Linked DNA regions of Rattus norvegicus. The protein of the gene in region 1 purifies or fractionates together with the protein of each later gene. This does not show direct contact. Links are inferred from orthologs where the notes say so. Each region holds a gene or a part of one and is shown in the gene's direction. Other genes may lie near its edges.

Evidence for each region. The genes of interacting proteins can lie anywhere in the genome.
Region 2: the proteins of Mms19 (region 1) and Ppat purify together in Homo sapiens (affinity purification with mass spectrometry; 3 studies listed by BioGRID and IntAct, with this or other methods). This does not show direct contact. The link is inferred for Rattus norvegicus from reciprocal best matches to the Homo sapiens genes MMS19 and PPAT.

The regions. Positions count from the first base shown.
Region 1 is NC_086019.1:250,703,064-250,711,028, reverse strand, and holds the end of Mms19 (MMS19 nucleotide excision repair protein homolog), read left to right. Parts: intron 1-210; coding exon 211-311; intron 312-736; coding exon 737-793; intron 794-1,469; coding exon 1,470-1,656; intron 1,657-2,804; coding exon 2,805-2,887; intron 2,888-3,022; coding exon 3,023-3,187; intron 3,188-3,257; coding exon 3,258-3,317; intron 3,318-3,873; coding exon 3,874-3,974; intron 3,975-4,052; coding exon 4,053-4,080; 3' UTR 4,081-4,434; downstream 4,435-7,965. Other genes in the region: palmitoyltransferase ZDHHC16, read right to left, coding at 5,115-5,229, 6,855-6,925, 7,206-7,329. UniProt on the Homo sapiens protein: Key component of the cytosolic iron-sulfur protein assembly (CIA) complex, a multiprotein complex that mediates the incorporation of iron-sulfur cluster into apoproteins specifically involved in DNA metabolism and genomic integrity.
Region 2 is NC_086032.1:31,598,760-31,607,359, forward strand, and holds the end of Ppat (amidophosphoribosyltransferase), read left to right. Parts: intron 1-187; coding exon 188-409; intron 410-2,276; coding exon 2,277-2,397; intron 2,398-3,510; coding exon 3,511-3,707; 3' UTR 3,708-5,629; downstream 5,630-8,600. UniProt on the Homo sapiens protein: Catalyzes the formation of phosphoribosylamine from phosphoribosylpyrophosphate (PRPP) and glutamine.

The DNA.
Region 1 (7,965 bases):
TCTTTATTGGCGTAGACAGCTCTCTCAGGTGTCCGCATCCTTGTGTTGAGTACTGCACCTGTGCTGTACAGACTGTCCTGCTGGCATTCTGTCATTTTGATTGTCCTTTTCCAATAGCTTCTCAGGTGCTCTGCACCTGGTCAATTTACATCCTTTGTCCTTAAAAACCTACACTGCCATTGTGCACCATTATGCCCTCCTTCCTTCTAGGGCAGCAGTTGGATGAGTTCCTCCAGCTCTCTGTGGACACAGTGGAGGCGGGTCTGGCCTCTGAATCCTCCCGTAATCAGGCTTTCACACTGCTGCTCTGGGTAAGGAGGTAGCATAGATGCTGGCAGACACAGATGATTGTGCCAAATTAAAAAATTTCTACTTGCCCCTGTAGTAGTTACTTTCCTGTTGCCGGGTTAAAATACCATGACTAAGATAGCTTATAGTAGCATCTGACTGGGTTTAAAATGGTGTCAGAGTCAGAGTATGATGGCAGAGCACAGGCAAGACAGCAGGAATAGCTGAGAGCTCACATCTTGATCCAAAATCAAGAGGCTGAGAGAGAGACTGGGAATGTCTCAAATCTTTTAAAACCTCAAAACCTACCTCCCGTGACATTCTTCCTCCTGCAAGGCCAGACCTCCTAAGTACTCAAATGCCAGAGACTAATGGGGGACAGACATCTCATTCAAGCCACATGTGGCAGGAGGGCCTCTGGGTCCTGATTGCTTTTTTTTTATTACAGGTAACCAAGGCTCTAGTCCTCAGGTACCATCCTCTCAGTGCCAGCCTAACCGCTCGGGTAAGCTCTACCACATAACTGGAATCTCAACAACATGCCTTGGATCCTACCTCTTACTGTTTGTTTTTAAAGATTTAAATTTTGTTGGCTGTGGGGTTGGGGATTTAGCTCAGTGGTAGAGCGCTTGCCTAGCAAGCGCAAGGCCCTGGGTTTGGTCCCCACCTCCGAAAAAAAAAGAAAAGAGAAAAAAAAATTTTTGTTGGCTGTGGTGGCTTATGCTTTTCCGTCCCAGCACTCTGGCAGAAAGAGACAGATCAATGAGTTTGAAGCAGTGGTTCCAGGACATAGAGAAGCCTTGTCATACATACATACATACATACATACATACATACATACATACATACATACATACATGTGTGTGTGTGTGTGTGTGTGTGTGTGTGTGTGTGTGTAAAATGTGTATGTTTTGCATGTGTGGCCACTGTATACAGAATGTGGCACATGCATCCCTGCTGCCCAAGAAGGGCAGAGGACATTGCCAGAGTTGGAGTTATGGATGGTTGTAAGCCATCATGTGGGTTCTGGGAACCCAACCCAAGTTCTCTAAACAGCAAGTGCTCTCAACCAGATCCACCTCTTCAGCCCCCGTTCTTATTCTTACAAGGCTTTCATTCTCTTTGGTGTTTGAGATTTTTCCTTCTATCACACTTAACAGGCTGGTTTGTTTTTTCACTAGCTCATGGGCCTCCTCAGCGACCCAGAACTAGGCTGTGCAGCAGCTGATGGCTTCTCTCTGCTCATGTCTGACTGCACTGATGTGCTGACTCGGGCCGGCCATGCTGATGTTCGGATCATGTTCCGCCAGCGCTTCTTCACAGACAATGTGCCTGCTTTGGTCCAGGGTTTCCATGCTGCTCCCCAAGGTATCTGAAAGCTGATCTCCAAATACATGGGCCTCTACTCTTGGCCATACGTCCCTACAATAATTTAGGACCCAGACGCTATATTGTGGTCTACACCTACAGAGCTGTACTTTCATCCCACTTTTCCCTGATGAGTACATTTGAGTTATTAGGAGCTCAAGAGGCTGATTAAACTGTGCGTGTGTGTACGTACATTTGTGTGGGAGCCAGAAGTCAAGATCTAGTACCTATTTTTATTAACTTTTTTAGATTGATTTATTTTATATGAGTATACTATAGCTGTCTTTAGACACCAGAAGAGGGCATCAGATCCCATCACAGATGGTTGTGAGCCACCATGTGGTGGCTGGAAATTGAACTCAGGACCTCTGGAAGAGCAGTCAGTGCTCTTAACCACTGAGCCATCTCTCTAGCCTTATTACGTTTTTTTACCAATTGCATGCCACAATGTCTATGGAGGTCTCGCCTTCCACCATGTAGCTTCCAAAGATGGACCACAATGTGTCTGTGAGGATCTCCCCTCCTCCATGTAGATTCCAATGATTGACCACTAATCAGGCTTAACAGTAGGTGCCTTCACCCACTGCCTGCTGATGGCCTGATTGCATGTTCTTCCATTGTTTTCCACAGTGTGGTGTGTGTTTGTATGTATGATGGAGGTTGAAGAAGTTGTACCAAATGGGTTCCAGGGATTGAGCTTAGGTCATGAAGGCGAGGGCCTTTACCTAAGGAGCTATCTTGCTGGCCCTTCTACTTCATTTCCTGAGACAGGATTTCCCAGTGAGCCTCAAGCTTGCTGCTCTGGCAAGACCAGCTAGCCAGTCTCCCCACTGGGATGCACTGCAGCGCTTACCATGAATCATGGTTTCATGGGACTAGAACTCAGGTCCTCATAGTACAGAAAGTACTCTCCCACCTGACCTATCTTCCCTAGCCTCAACCCTTTTCTTCAGGCAGGTCTCACTCTGTAGCTCAAACTGGCTTTGACTCCCCTTGCCTCAGCCTCCTGAGTTCTGAATAGACTTTAGTCACCACACCTTATTATAAATTGACAAACCTATTCATGTGAGTTAGAGATTGAATTCTCAGAACTGAATGTCTGTCTAACCCATTTTTCTCCTACACATCTTTTTTCTTTTTATCCCCAGATGTGAAGCCAAACTATCTGAAGGGTCTATCTCATGTACTCAACAGGCTGCCTAAGCCTGTGCTTTTACCAGAGCTGCCCACAGTAAGTCCTGTGGGAACCTTCAGCAAGGGACGGGGGTCGGGGAGGGGGAGGAGGGTGGTTTCGGGTCCCTTGGCTACAGCTGGTAGAGGGAGTTCCAAGACCATAATGTACATCCTATTTTCCATTGCTTCTTAGCTCCTTTCCTTGCTGCTGGAGGCACTGTCCTGCCCTGACTCTGTGGTCCAGCTTTCCACTTTGAGCTGTCTCCAACCCTTACTACTGGAAGCACCCCAAATCATGAGTCTTCATGTTGATACTCTGGTCACGAAATTCCTGAACCTCAGTTCCAGTCATTCAATGGTGCGTTGAGCCCAGCACACCCTTCAGTACCTTTCTCCTTTATCTCCCCTGACCTCATTTTGTGTTCCAGGCCGTCCGGATTGCTGCTCTGCAGTGTATGCATGCTCTCACTCGGCTACCCACTTCTGTGGTAAGTCTTTAGAGTCAGAAGTGCTTGTTTGAGACAGGGTGGTCACTGTTCTCCAAGCTGGCCTGACTTGTGTACGCTGCCATACCTGGTTGAATACTTTTTTGCTTTCAAGTGAGATTAGCCACCACCAACTGAGTATGGTAGGATAGGAACTATATACATGGTGCACATAGATAATTATAAATATGCCACCACCCCTTCCCCCGAGTGCAGAATGGATCTAGTGAATTCTGACCACCTCATAACATTGCTCATCCTACATAAAAACCTCAAATAAGAAAACTGGGGCTGGAAAGGTGGCTTAGGAGCACTGGCTGTTCTTCCAGAAGACCCACATGATTCCTAGCACCCACATGGCAGTATATAGTAATTTGTAATACCATTCTAGGGGATCCAGTGCGCGTACATCTGGCCTCATGACACCAGGCGTACACATACGCAAGTCTTTAAAATAGGGCACATTTCACTTCTATCAGAATTGAGCTGCACAGTGTAGGATGCACTTCTTGTTGTTCAGCTCAGCCAGAGTAAGATGGTGTCTCTGATTTCTTCACAGTTGCTGCCATTCAAATCTCAGGTGATCCGAGCTTTAGCCAAGCCTCTGGATGACAAGAAGAGACTTGTGCGCAAGGAAGCAGTGTCAGCAAGGGGAGAATGGTAAGCTGTTGGCTGAAGGGAATGGGGGGGACTAAGGAGAACCTCAGAATAGTGTTGTAACATTCTTCATGTCCACAGGTTCCTACTGGGGAGCCCTGGGAGCTGAGCCCTTGGTCCTCACCTAAACCCTCCTGACAATCTAACCCGCAAGTACTAATATTGAGCCATCCCACAAGGCAAGACCACCCACTGGCCTGCCCGCCCATGGATGCAGTACAAATGCTGGGCCTCTCCTGCATGGCTGTGCAAAACTCTTTTCCAAGAGCCATGATTTCTAATGGATTGTTGAAGAGACTGAGACTTGTATTTGAGGAAAAGATCTTGGGCTCTCCTGTGTCCTATCAGGACACTACGTGGCTGTGCTGCTGAAGGGCCAATCCAGTTGAGTGTGACCTTGAGAACTAGGGATGTGTGTTACATGAATGCACCTGCCAGCGAATAAAGACTTTTGTAATGGGCAGATTCCCATGTATTCCCTTTATCCTGCAGATGCTGTAGTGGCACATACCGAGAGCTCCCAGCCCTTCAAAATATGCCCAAAATAAGGGCATAAGAGACACCCTCGGGGTTGGGGATTTAGCTCAGCGGTAGAGCGCTTGCCTAGGAAGCGCAAGGCCCTGGGTTCGGTCCCCAGCTCTGGGAAAAAAAAAAAGAGACACCCTCGGAATGCCCACTCAGTGACCCACTTCTTCATCCTGAACTTCACCTTCACCAAGGCACAGAAAAGCTACTATCTTTACAAATCAAATGCCTTTATTTTCGCTCCTTCCGTAGCACGTGAGAAATGGCAGTGACCTTGGCAATAGGCTTAGGTTCTTTATCCCATTGCGAAGCCAGAACACACCTGATGGATCTTTTCCCAAAGTCAAAGAAATGGTGTCTAGCCCCAGTGCTGTGACCTAGAGCTCATTACCTGACTCCTGGTCTGGGGCTAAAACTTATTTGCCTGAGTAAAGGGACTTCAATCATTGAGTTCCTCCACACTGCATCTTGCTCTGAGGTGGCAGAAGATTGCTCTTGATTGTCCCTGTGTAGTACTCTAAGGCAGCCTAATGGTTCTTATGGTCATGGATTCCAGGAAAAGCTGCCCTTGGAAGCTCTTGAAAGACAATAAACATCGAACAATGTTCAAGTTGTGGCTTACACGGCCATCACAGAGGCTGAGTGAGCAGTCACCCAGGGAGGAGGATCCCAGCTCATCCCATTCCCATGAGGCAGGTGACTAGAAGGTAACAGCACCCGGGTCAGCCAATGCCTGTGAGGAATGATCCAAAAAAAAAAAAAAAAAAAAAAAATCTCTTTAGGTCTGAGTTCTTGGTTGTCCTTCCCATTTGCCCTGCAGCAAACATACATCAAACAAAGACAGAGTTCTCATCTCTGATTCTGTCTGGGAACTGTACCCTCTGGGGCTCTGAAGGCATCTTAAGCACTTTTTAATTTAAAGCCTGGGAAGTGGGGAGACAGCTTAAGAACAGTTCATAGGGGGCTGGGGATTTAGCTCAGTGGTAGAGCGCTTACCTAGGAAGCGCAAGGCCCTGGGTTCGGTCCCCAGCTCCAAAAAAAAAAAAAAAAAGAACAGTTCATAGATGCTCTAAGTATGGCCTTCTCCATTTAAGTCACTTGTTTTTGTTTCAAGACAGAACATCACTGTGTAACCCAGGTTGGCCTTGGATTACCAATCCTGGTAATTACGATGCCCTGGTCTCCTGAATGCTGGATTTCCAGGTGTGGGCTGCCATGGCCAGCCCCAATCTTGTACTGTGCTGCAAGTGCAGTAGAGGGGAATGCAATGATGATGAGGCAAAGAGGAAGGGACTTCACGGACTCATCAAGGGTAGGCACAGGGTGAGGGGAGGCAAGGTCCTCAAACTCTGGATCTGCCTGTGCCTTCCAAGTGATGGGATTACAGATGTACATGATCATGCCTAGCCTAGTAATCTGCATTTTAAAAAATTATTTCGGGGGTTGGGGATTTAGCCCAGTGGTAGAGCGTGCCCTGGGTTCAGTCCCCAGCTCCGAAAAAAAGAAGAAAAAAATGATTTCTTCTTGGACTGGACAGAGCTAGTCTCTCATATTGCTGTCAGACCTCTGTCACATGTAGGTTACCTCAGTCTCACACATTGCTGGCTTGAACTCCAGATACAGTGCCTATCTACAAGCTCTTCTGTAGTTGTTTGAACCATACCTTTTAAACCACAGTTTCAGGGGCTGGAGAGATAGCTCAGCACTTGAGTACCTGTTGCTCCTGCAGAGTTTTGATTCCTAGTACCCACATAGGAGTCTATACCACATGGCAGTCTATAACTATCTCCAGTCCCAAGGGATCCATCCAATGCCCTCTCCTGACCCCAGGTACCAGGCATGCACATGATGTGCATAACAAGTATACAGAAAATACTCATACTATTTTCTTTAAAACGTTTTAGCCTTGGGGGGTAGAGAGATGGCTCAGCAGTTAAGAGCACTCTTCCAGAGTGCTCTTCCAGAGGTCCTGAGTTCAATTCCCAGCAATCACATGGTGGCTCACATCCATCTGTAATGAGATCTGATGCCCTCTTCTGGTGTGTCTGAAGACAGCTGCACTGTACTCACATACATAAAATGGGGGGAGGGGAGTGAGTTTTAGCCTCAGGCCCCAATGGTTCAAATAAATAGTGGTTATTCCAAGTGCATAACAAAAAGCTGGTCGCATGTGGCTATTCCTGAGGATGAAACCTAATTGCAAACTCCTCAGTGTCACTAACCAGTCTGCTTTTGTGGACAGTCCACCTTCTACAGCACTGTCTTTAGCTTCAGCTGGATTACAATCTCTGATTCTGGGTATGGACCAGGTCCCTATCACAGTCCTGTTGCACAGCACTGCTGTCTTTCTTACTTTACCTTCCTGTGTCCACACCTAGGAACACCTTCCAGTTGTCCAAGCAGCCGTAGTTGTAAGGATTCCTAAACACCTAGAGACAAGGAAAATACATTGCTACTCTTCTACTTAATCTCCTTCTCATCTTGGAGATGATAGAGCTCCTGTAAGCAAAGTCTAACTTTTAAGACACCTGTTGGCTGGTTGTGATGATGCATGACTTTGACCTCAGCACTGGGCATTCTAGGCCAGCCAGAGCTACATAATGGGACCCAGCTTTAAAACAAAGTGAAAAACTAGAAACTTGTCTAAGTGAGCACTGACAGTGGCCTGTTTGTTACCCACCTGCTCACCCAAGTCCCTTCCCCACTCACTCTGCCCTTGGCCTGTAGCCGGCGTCTCTCCTTCTTGTTGATATGCCTTTCGATGCTAGTCTCACCCCGGCTGATGAGGACAGCATGCCACATGGTTAGGGCACCCAGGGCCAGGGCCACAGAACTAAGAGGCAAAAATTAATAGAAATTAGAAGCTGGAAGACAGAGAGGAGGGCAAACTCGTGGCTATGATTGGCTTAGAGCCTCTCTGCTTCATTCTCCTGACCTCATCATCCAGGGCCTAGGTGAGCACATATTCAACCTTTTAGAGGTTTACTGAAATCTGGAAAAAGGTGGTATGGAAAGGAAGATGGGGGAAATGTAGACTTTGTTAAAATGCCCATGCTTGACTTGGAAGATAGTGAAGGGTCATACAAGCATGAGGGGTTGGACTGGTTGTCGGAAATCCATGTACCAACACTGCAGCTCCAGCTACGCAGTGTAGAACAAGTCTCCTCTAAGTTCCTGATTTCCCTTCTCAGCAAATGGAGCCATATGCTTTTTGGATAGGAATCAAGAAAACAAGAGCTTCACTTAACCGTGGCACATAACAAGCACGACGGTATTATTGGTACTTAGCCACCTTCTACTGTTCTCTGTCCCCAAAATATTGAAGAAAAGCACTCTTTGCTAGCCTCAGTCCAGGACCATGGCATCTAAAAAGGGTTTTCTTAATGCTGCCCTCCCTTAAAATTTCCAGAACTGAACCAGTCAGTGATGGTATGTGCCTTTACCCCCAGCACTCAGGAAGCAGAAGCAG
Region 2 (8,600 bases), on another chromosome or scaffold:
TGAATGCATGCAGAATTTAGTGGTCATAGGTAGATGAGCATGCTTACTTAGCTTCTACGTGAAAGAATAGTGCACATGTGCTATAGAGACAGTTACCTCAAGTGAATGAATGAAGATCTTTTGTCTCTCAAAGTCATGTTTTTAGGCCAGTTTTGCTACTAACGTGCATTTATTTCCCCTCCATCAGTGTGGGCTGCCATATGTGGAGGTGCTGTGTAAGAACCGGTATGTAGGAAGAACCTTCATTCAGCCAAACATGAGGCTAAGACAACTTGGGGTTGCAAAGAAATTCGGCGTGTTGTCTGACAACTTTAAAGGCAAAAGAATTGTTCTCATAGATGATTCCATTGTGAGAGGCAATACTATCTCACCCATCATAAAACTCCTCAAAGAATCCGGTGCAAAGGAGGTGAGTGTTTTAAAGCATATGCTGTAGTACCAGTAATTAACCATATGGTGTGGGCACAGAGTGCTGTATCCCAGTGAGAGTCCCTGTAACGTCGCATATCAGGTTGCTCTATAGAGCTGGGCAGCGCGAAGGAGAACATGTGCTAACTAACTACTCTTATACTCTACTAAGTTTAACCTTCATAGATTGAAAAGGTGAACCTAGAAGGTCACTCCCAGCACTTGGGAGGCAGTGGCAGAGGCCTGCTATGGCTGCTTATATATAATCCTGTCTCCAAAAAAAAAAAAAAAAAAAAAAAAAAAAACAATTAAAAAACCCAAGTATGTTTCACACTGTAATATTTTTTAATTAATGTTATATATTGTTCCTTTAGACATCCGTCTTAGTTAGGGTTTCTGTTGCTGCGATGAAACACCACAACCGCCAAAAAATGAGTTGGAGATGAAAGGGTTAATCCACATCACTGTTCATCATTGAAGAAAGTCAGGACAGGAACTCAAGCAGGGTGGGAACCTGGAGGCAGGAGCTGATGCAGAGGCCATGGAGGGGTGCTGCTTACTGGCTTGCTTGCTCCTCTTTGTTTGCTTAGCCTGCTTTCTTTCTTTTTTTTGGTTCTTTTTTTCGGAGCTGGAGACTGAACCCAGGGCCTTGCGCTTCCTAGGTAAGCGCTCTACCACTGAGCTAAATCACCAACCCCTCAGCCTGCTTTCTTAATAGAAGAACCCAGGACCACCAGACCAGGGAGGCATGACCCACAACAGGCTGGACCCCCACCCCACCCCCCCCATTGATCACTAATTAAGAAAATACCTTACAAGCCTGCCTCCAACTGGAGCTAAGGAGGTTTTTATTACTTACTTACTTAATTAATTAATTAATTTTGCTTATTCACTTTACATCCTGCTCACTGCCCTCAGTCACCTCTCCCTAACTTTCTTACCCTCCCCTCACACCCCTCCCCCTATTCCTCTGAGCAGGTGGGGGTTCCCCTGGGCATCAACCCACCCTGGCACTTGAAGTCTCCGTGAGGCCAGGTGCTTTCTCTGATGGACGACACATTTTCTTAATTGAGGCTCCATCCTCTCAGATGACTTGAGGTTGACATAAAACGAGGCAGCATATCATGTTGCTATACCTTTAATAAACAAAAAGTAGTATAAAATAACTTTTAAATTCTTCGAAAAGCTCAGAAAGTTCGTGTGACTCAGTTGGAGTCTCAATTGTAACTATTTCAGTCCCTTAAGTTATAGAAGCAAGATGCCATATATACATATATATATATATATATATTTGAATGAGTTTGAAAAGTGGGATGGAAAGCAATAAAGACGGCCTGTATTAGAACATTTCAAGAATTACTAAGGTTTTCCAGGTTTTTTATGACTGATTATGGTTCTGCTAATCTCACTGTTGAACTCTATGAAGGTTAGAGAGTAGAAACAAGAGGATATAATCAATTCAGCATCTGTTGCTATAGTAAAAAAGAATCGCTAATCACATACCGTGCAAGTAGGTTAAGTATATAAAGTGAGATGTTTGCCTGTGATGAAATATGGCATGGACATTTAAATCTGTGTGAAGATTTATAATATATGAAAGATTAAAAATAAAATGTAGCTACTAGTTGTAACCATGTAAATGGACCAAACAGAAAGGGCAAAACCAATAGCAGACAGAAGGAGCCATGTTATGATTAGTAAGATTTTCATTATAACCTAGCAGATTTTACCATTTTTACTAAGTACAGATCAGCAAAGTACCTCTTAGGCATTCAAACAAAACAAAAGCACTAGGCATGTATAAAGTCAGTCAACAGGAATGCATGATTAGTTGGGCTGCGAGTATATGATATGATTTTTTTCCCAAGGTACACATTCGAGTCGCTTCGCCACCAATAAAACATCCGTGCTTCATGGGAATAAACATTCCTACAAAAGAAGAGCTTATAGCCAATAAGCCCGAATTTGAGTATCTTGCAGAGTACCTTGGTAGGTATTAACATTTCTATAAATATTATTAACTGTCTGTTTTAAATTTTGAGTGTACTTTTGTGTAAAACAGCAATTAGTTGGAAGGTAAATTTGAGTGCTGGGGAGCTGGTCCTGGCTCTAGTTCTGGCTCTGCAAGTTTTGGGGGACCAGAGTTGAGTCTGTAAATGATACGTGGGGTAGGTGTGTCTAATTCCAGAGTGGAGACTGTATACCCAGAGTAAGCAGGCTAGCTAGAGTCACAGAATCCGTGACCCTGAGACCACTACCTTGGCCTTCTACAGACTCATGTATACATGCGCACATACACGCTGGGGGGTCAGTCATTCACAGTAGCACCAAAAGTTACCTTCTAGTAATAACACAAAGATTGCAAATCCTATCTTTTAACACTTTTTTTTTTTTTTTTTGGTTCTTTTTTTTTTTTTTTTCGGAGCTGGGGACTGAACCCAGGGCCTTGCGCTTCCTAGGCAAGCGCTCTACCACTGAGCTAAATCCCCAACCCCTGCAAATCCTATCTTATGTGGTAACACGTGCCTTTAAATCTAATACGGGAGACAGAGGCAGCCAGGTCCGAGTTTAAGGCCAGCAAGGTCTATAATGGTAATTAATTCTAGGATAGCCAGGGCTACAGAGTGAAGCCTTGTCTCAACAAAACAAAATAAAAACAAAAACCCCACAATAATTATTATGACATTGAACACAATTACTCTAAAGAGAAAAACAGGTGGGGCACTTTTTATATTAGAGCTATAGGTCAAAGCAAGATCAGAAGACCATGTTTTATCATAGAGTAGAATAACCCCCCCCCCCCACACACACACACACGATTGAATTGAGAGATTTGTAGATTTGTACGCTCTAAACCAGCATTTTTCCACTAAGCTACATTCCCAGTTTCTCTCGCCTTTTAAAAGTTTGAATTGTCCTGGTTGGCTTGGTCCTGACATCATCTTGCCTCAGCTTCTGAAGCAGCGGGGGCTGCAGGCTGTATGTCATCACATCCAACTTCCCTTTTTCAGGAAGGCTAAGAGAGAAGCTTTCGTCCTGACTGTCAGCAATGTCTGTAGGTAGCTGTGTTGTAGTGAGACATGTTTTCCTCTCCTCCCGCAGGAGCAAACAGCGTTGTGTATCTGTCAGTGGAAGGACTAGTTTCGTCTGTGCAACAAGAAATAAAGTTCAAGAAGCAGAAAGTTAAAAAGCGTGATATCACAATTCAAGAAAATGGAAATGGTCTGGAGTATTTTGAGAAGACGGGACACTGTACGGCTTGCCTCACTGGCCAGTACCCTGTGGATCTGGAATGGTAGCTGCCTGGACCGATGTGCTGCTTCCAGACTGAAAGGTCATCAAGAAGTGGTTTACATGTGTTCCTCAGTTGGTACAAAATGGACACCACTTGCTTATGTATTATACCTTAAGTTTTGAGATTTTCTGAGGTCACTGAATTGCTATAATTGAATCATAAAGATTACATGTAATGCGACATGTGGGGATTCTTTTTGTATAAGGACTGACTTTTCACCCAAGAGAAGGCAGGAAGTGGCATTTCCCAGACCCATGCTTGAATGGTTCTAAAGAGGTGAGATAGGGAGGTTGTGTGCCCAGGACAGGAAGCTTTATAAAGTTTCATGAAAAGCTTGAATTCATTGTGCCCCATATGTATCTAGTCTATGCAGTCAAGTCTGCAGTTATGGCCTTGGTCTTTGATTCTTCCACCCCATACACACATGTATGGCTCTGGGGACCAGTGTACAACTCCTAAAAAATGAAAACCTATGTGGAAAGCTGAGGCAGGAGAGTCCTGAGTTCAAGGCCAACCTGGGTTTTCCTGTCTCAAGATAAAGAACCTCTTTCTGTGCCTCGGACTCCACATCTGTTTCCTAAGTCATTCATAAACTTAATGCTTAGCGGGAACTTGTGTGTTTGTCTGGGAGGCTTAGAGCTGCCGTTTTACCCCTGCTTCTTTACCATGCATGGTCAGTAGCTTCAGAAGCTAATGGTAATTAGCTTTCACTAAATTAGTTTTCAGTTTCCTTGTGATGGAGGTTTGCAGACCTTTTCCATCTCTTTGGGATATACCAGAACGACTGAGAAATCTATCTGGAGCCCTGTTTTTCTACACTTGACAGAAAATATTTAGCCTAGCAAATAACTTAGTAAGTACATTGGAAAGAGAAAATTTTAATTTCAAGTAAGCCTTTATCCTTGATTTGATTAAACTTGGCTGTTTGAATGAGTGCTTGATCATTTACAGAACTGTGTACTTGTATACATGTATGCATTTGGTTTAAACAGAGGGAATAGAGACACAGTAGGGCCGATTTTGTTTAAAGGCTGAGGGGACAGCCACTGTTTGGGGAATTAGATTGCCTGTACCCAAGCGTTAGCTCATGATCATGTTTTTTCTAATTTTTTTTGTTAGGTCTAGTGACATTTTTAATTTTTTTATGATGCAGATTTAGTGGATTGAGGTGATTTACTAACTCCTGTTTGTGTGGGATTTTTCACATGGAAAAATAATTGTCTCTATATTGCCAAAATTTGCTACTTTCCAAACCCACTTAGAAATATAATATTTATTAAAAACTGAAATCATTAGTCCACATTTGGTATATAGTGTGGTGTGTCACATATGGCAGGTCAAAATAAACTGTTAGGACTTCGAGGTCATGTGCTGCGTGCGGTGCCTGAGGTTGTCCTGTGGCATAGACACAGGCTGGCCTTTCACAGCCCTGGGGCCATTTTAGTGGGTGCAACCTCCTGTGTTACATGCATTGTGTGTAATGGCGGCGTGGAGGGGTAAGGCCGTTAGGTCAGTTTTTAAATGGCCTTATTTAAATTTGATGTTTTACAAAGAAACTCAGGGAAGGTACTACAACCAAAATCTCTAATTTGACTTTTGTGTTCCACAGTTTTTATTTTGTTTTATTGGAATACTTTTATAAAGGGAAATAATAACCATGGTCGTTTGTACAACTTTCTTAATTATTTCTTCATTGTTACCTTTTATTTTACAAGTTTCTGAATATGGATTAAATTAACATTTTACCAGTTTCAAGCCTTATTTTATCTGCTTTAAATGTATATAACTAGAGTACTATATGCTGAAAAGATGAAAAATGTGTTTGAAGACAGTTAACGTCCTAAACTAATGTAAGCCTACTTTTTGTTTTGTATGTGCCTGTGTGGTTTTTTGTTTTTTTGCAACAAATATATGTAATAAACGTGTTTATATGTGTGCTTTTTAAAAATAGTAGTAATCAGTACATTATGGTGCGCAGCATGAAGACAGTGCCAGGTTCCATACCTGGCATCAGCTGATGAGATCTTATTTCTCTGATTCAGGCATTTTAATAAATAGTCCATCTCTTATGAGCTGGGCAAACACATGCCAAGCAGGAGGGCAGTAAAGTAATTGGAAAATAGAATGTCAAGACGATCTGTGGGAGTCATCTGTCTACCTTCTTTCAACTGAAAGAACCAGAATTGGGACCAATACGGGGCCAGCGGGAAAATTCTCACTACAAACTTCTGAGCACAAGGACCCCTCCCTTCCTGGAAGAAAAAAGCTGGTTTAGTTCCTGGAACAGCAGCAAACCAAACCTGTCACACAAAGCTACCTGACTCCCAACTAAAAGTCCTGAACAGTACACGGAGTGGATCTGAAAGTTGTTTCCATCAAATGCCATTGTGCCCTGCCTAGGTACCTTTGTGCAAATTCTGCCCCAATTGTTTGCAAGGTATATAACCCCCTGTTAAGAGTCTATCCAGGGTTGTCTCCCCTTGGAATGGGACAGCCCCTGCAAACTCTTGCTTTTGTATCGCTCACCCCGCCTCCATGAGTCTCATTTCCCAGAAGAGTTTCAGTTTGGACCTCAGACAACGCCATTAGTTGGGCTCAGCAGCAAGTGCCCTTCTCATCGAGCCTTCTCGTTAAGGCTCCCTAAGCTTGTTGGTCCTAAGAGTTCTTCCAAGACCAGTTGTCCAGGGCCAGGCGGGGCTCCAGTCTGAGAAAAGAGAAAGAGCAAAACAGCCCAAGAATGAAAACGATGTGTCCTTTAGAACAGCCAGTGAGTAGAGAGCAATCACTCCCCAAACTAAAGCCCATAATATAAAAGTGCCTCTGGTGGGAATGGCTTGGGAAGCCTTACTTACCTAGGGTCCTGTTTGTCCTCCAGGGCGTTCCCTGTTGGACTCACTTTATCTGCTGCCTGCTGTTGGCTCTTGCTTGTGATAGGCTTAACCCACTCACTAGAAACTCATAGCTTGACTTTCGTGGATTGTTCTGCATACAGGAAAAACCGTTTTCCAAATTGTTTTTGAAGGAAGCAGTGCTGCTCGCTTCCCAGTGAGAAGTGAGACTGGGGGGGAGAGGGGGCAAGAGGAGGAGAATCAGAAGAGAGGCAGTGAGATGGGCAGTATGTGATCGTGAACGTGCTGAGGACTTCCGGCACTTGGCTGCCATTACTGTACTTACTGTTTAACACCTGGAAGTAGACTTGGAAATAGTATAGCTGTTATAGTTGTATAAAAGTTACATATGGGGGGAAGAGTTACATATGGGAAAGGGACTGGTTTTAAGCTATATAGTACCTGATATTCTTGTTTCTGGGAAGTAGACTGTTCCTGGGTGAAGGGGAACAGTGTTAAGTCAAAATCTACAGTGTGGGTTTTGTACTAGTTTACTCTTAACAAATTCCCCAGTGGTGAGGGGGGTGGTGCACACAATATCTCAAAAGCCCTTCCAATGGAATGTTCCTCCTTCCTGCTTCCTGTTCGTCTCTGTCCGTTCTCCTGACTTCCTCTCACTTATTTTTTTCCCCATGTTGACTCCCTGTCAATGGTTGCTTGTTCCACCTCTTGACCTATGGTTGACTTTATTTAGTCTTGTTTACAGTAAACAGAAAGTTCTTGGATTCAAGGCGTGTGCTAGGGCTGAGCCATATAACCAGAGACAGGTTTTTCCAGTACACAGTCTTGGGGGTCACAGTATAAGATATGCTGCAACATTTGCCATCCTCAATTCTAGCTTGTGATAAACCAGGTACATTATAGCTCAGATGGACATATAATTATATAAACTTCCTGTTTATGAATCACAAAAAACAACAGGCCTTGCTCTGGCTAGGACCATACACTATCATAAAGTCCACAAGAAACTGCTTTCTGTTCCATCCTGAGTCTGTTTACCACTTTCTAGTTTCATAAACCTCACCCAGCATACATGTTTACTTACCAAGAGTCAGTGTAAGAGTGGTGCAGGTCTGTGAGCTCGTTTACTTAAGAGGCTGAGGCACTGATTGGTATCTGGCGTTCAAGGTCTGCCCATGGTGTATCAACTGAAATGGCATTGAACAAGTACTGAACTGAGATGCACCCTAGTCTCTGCAACCCTTACTGACTTTTAGAAAACTTTAAAATAAGAATGGGTGATCATGAATTTATTACATTCTAGATAAGTCTCTTTAACATGAGATAGCCCAAAATGAGTAGGAAGAAAATAATTGGGAAGGAAAGGGAAAAGCACAAATTATTGAAGGTAAGCACCCCAACAGGCAGACAGGTGGGAAAAGAGGCCAAGGATAACCCCCATGTTCATTCAGAACAAAGGCCTGGTGGGCTTTTTCACTCTACTGATGTGCCCAAGATCAGTCCTGGACACGTCTCTGCTTGTGTGAGGCTGTGTATATCATCTCCCTTTTACTTGTTGAAGTCAGCCAATCCAGAATAAGGAGAAGAGGACCCACACTGTACCACTAAAAACATTTAAATGTCCAGGGAGAATGGGTGAGGGGGACTTGGCTTTCAAAATCCCCTCTCCCCTAGTGGAAAGTCTGTCTTTACTGTGAGAGAATGAGAGGCTAAGGCAAGAGGTTCTTGAACCTCCAGGTCAACATAGCGATATTGAGAAACCATACTCCAGAAGAAGAAAATAAACAAGCTGGGATTGTAAGGCTTGAAGTGAGTCTTAACTACCAGGAGACCCCCCCCCCCCAAAGTGAGACATGAGAATGGGGTTCGATGCAAACCCAAGAGGTTTATTTTCCTGCGTGTTGGGGTCAACCTTCAATCAGCCCCTCCTGGAAGGTGACCTGGAATGGCTATAACAAGCAGTTTTTATACTTTTTAGGTTACATCAGCAAGGTTATAGTTTAAACCTATTGGCTAAGCATATTGACCTTTGAATCTATTGGCTAGCA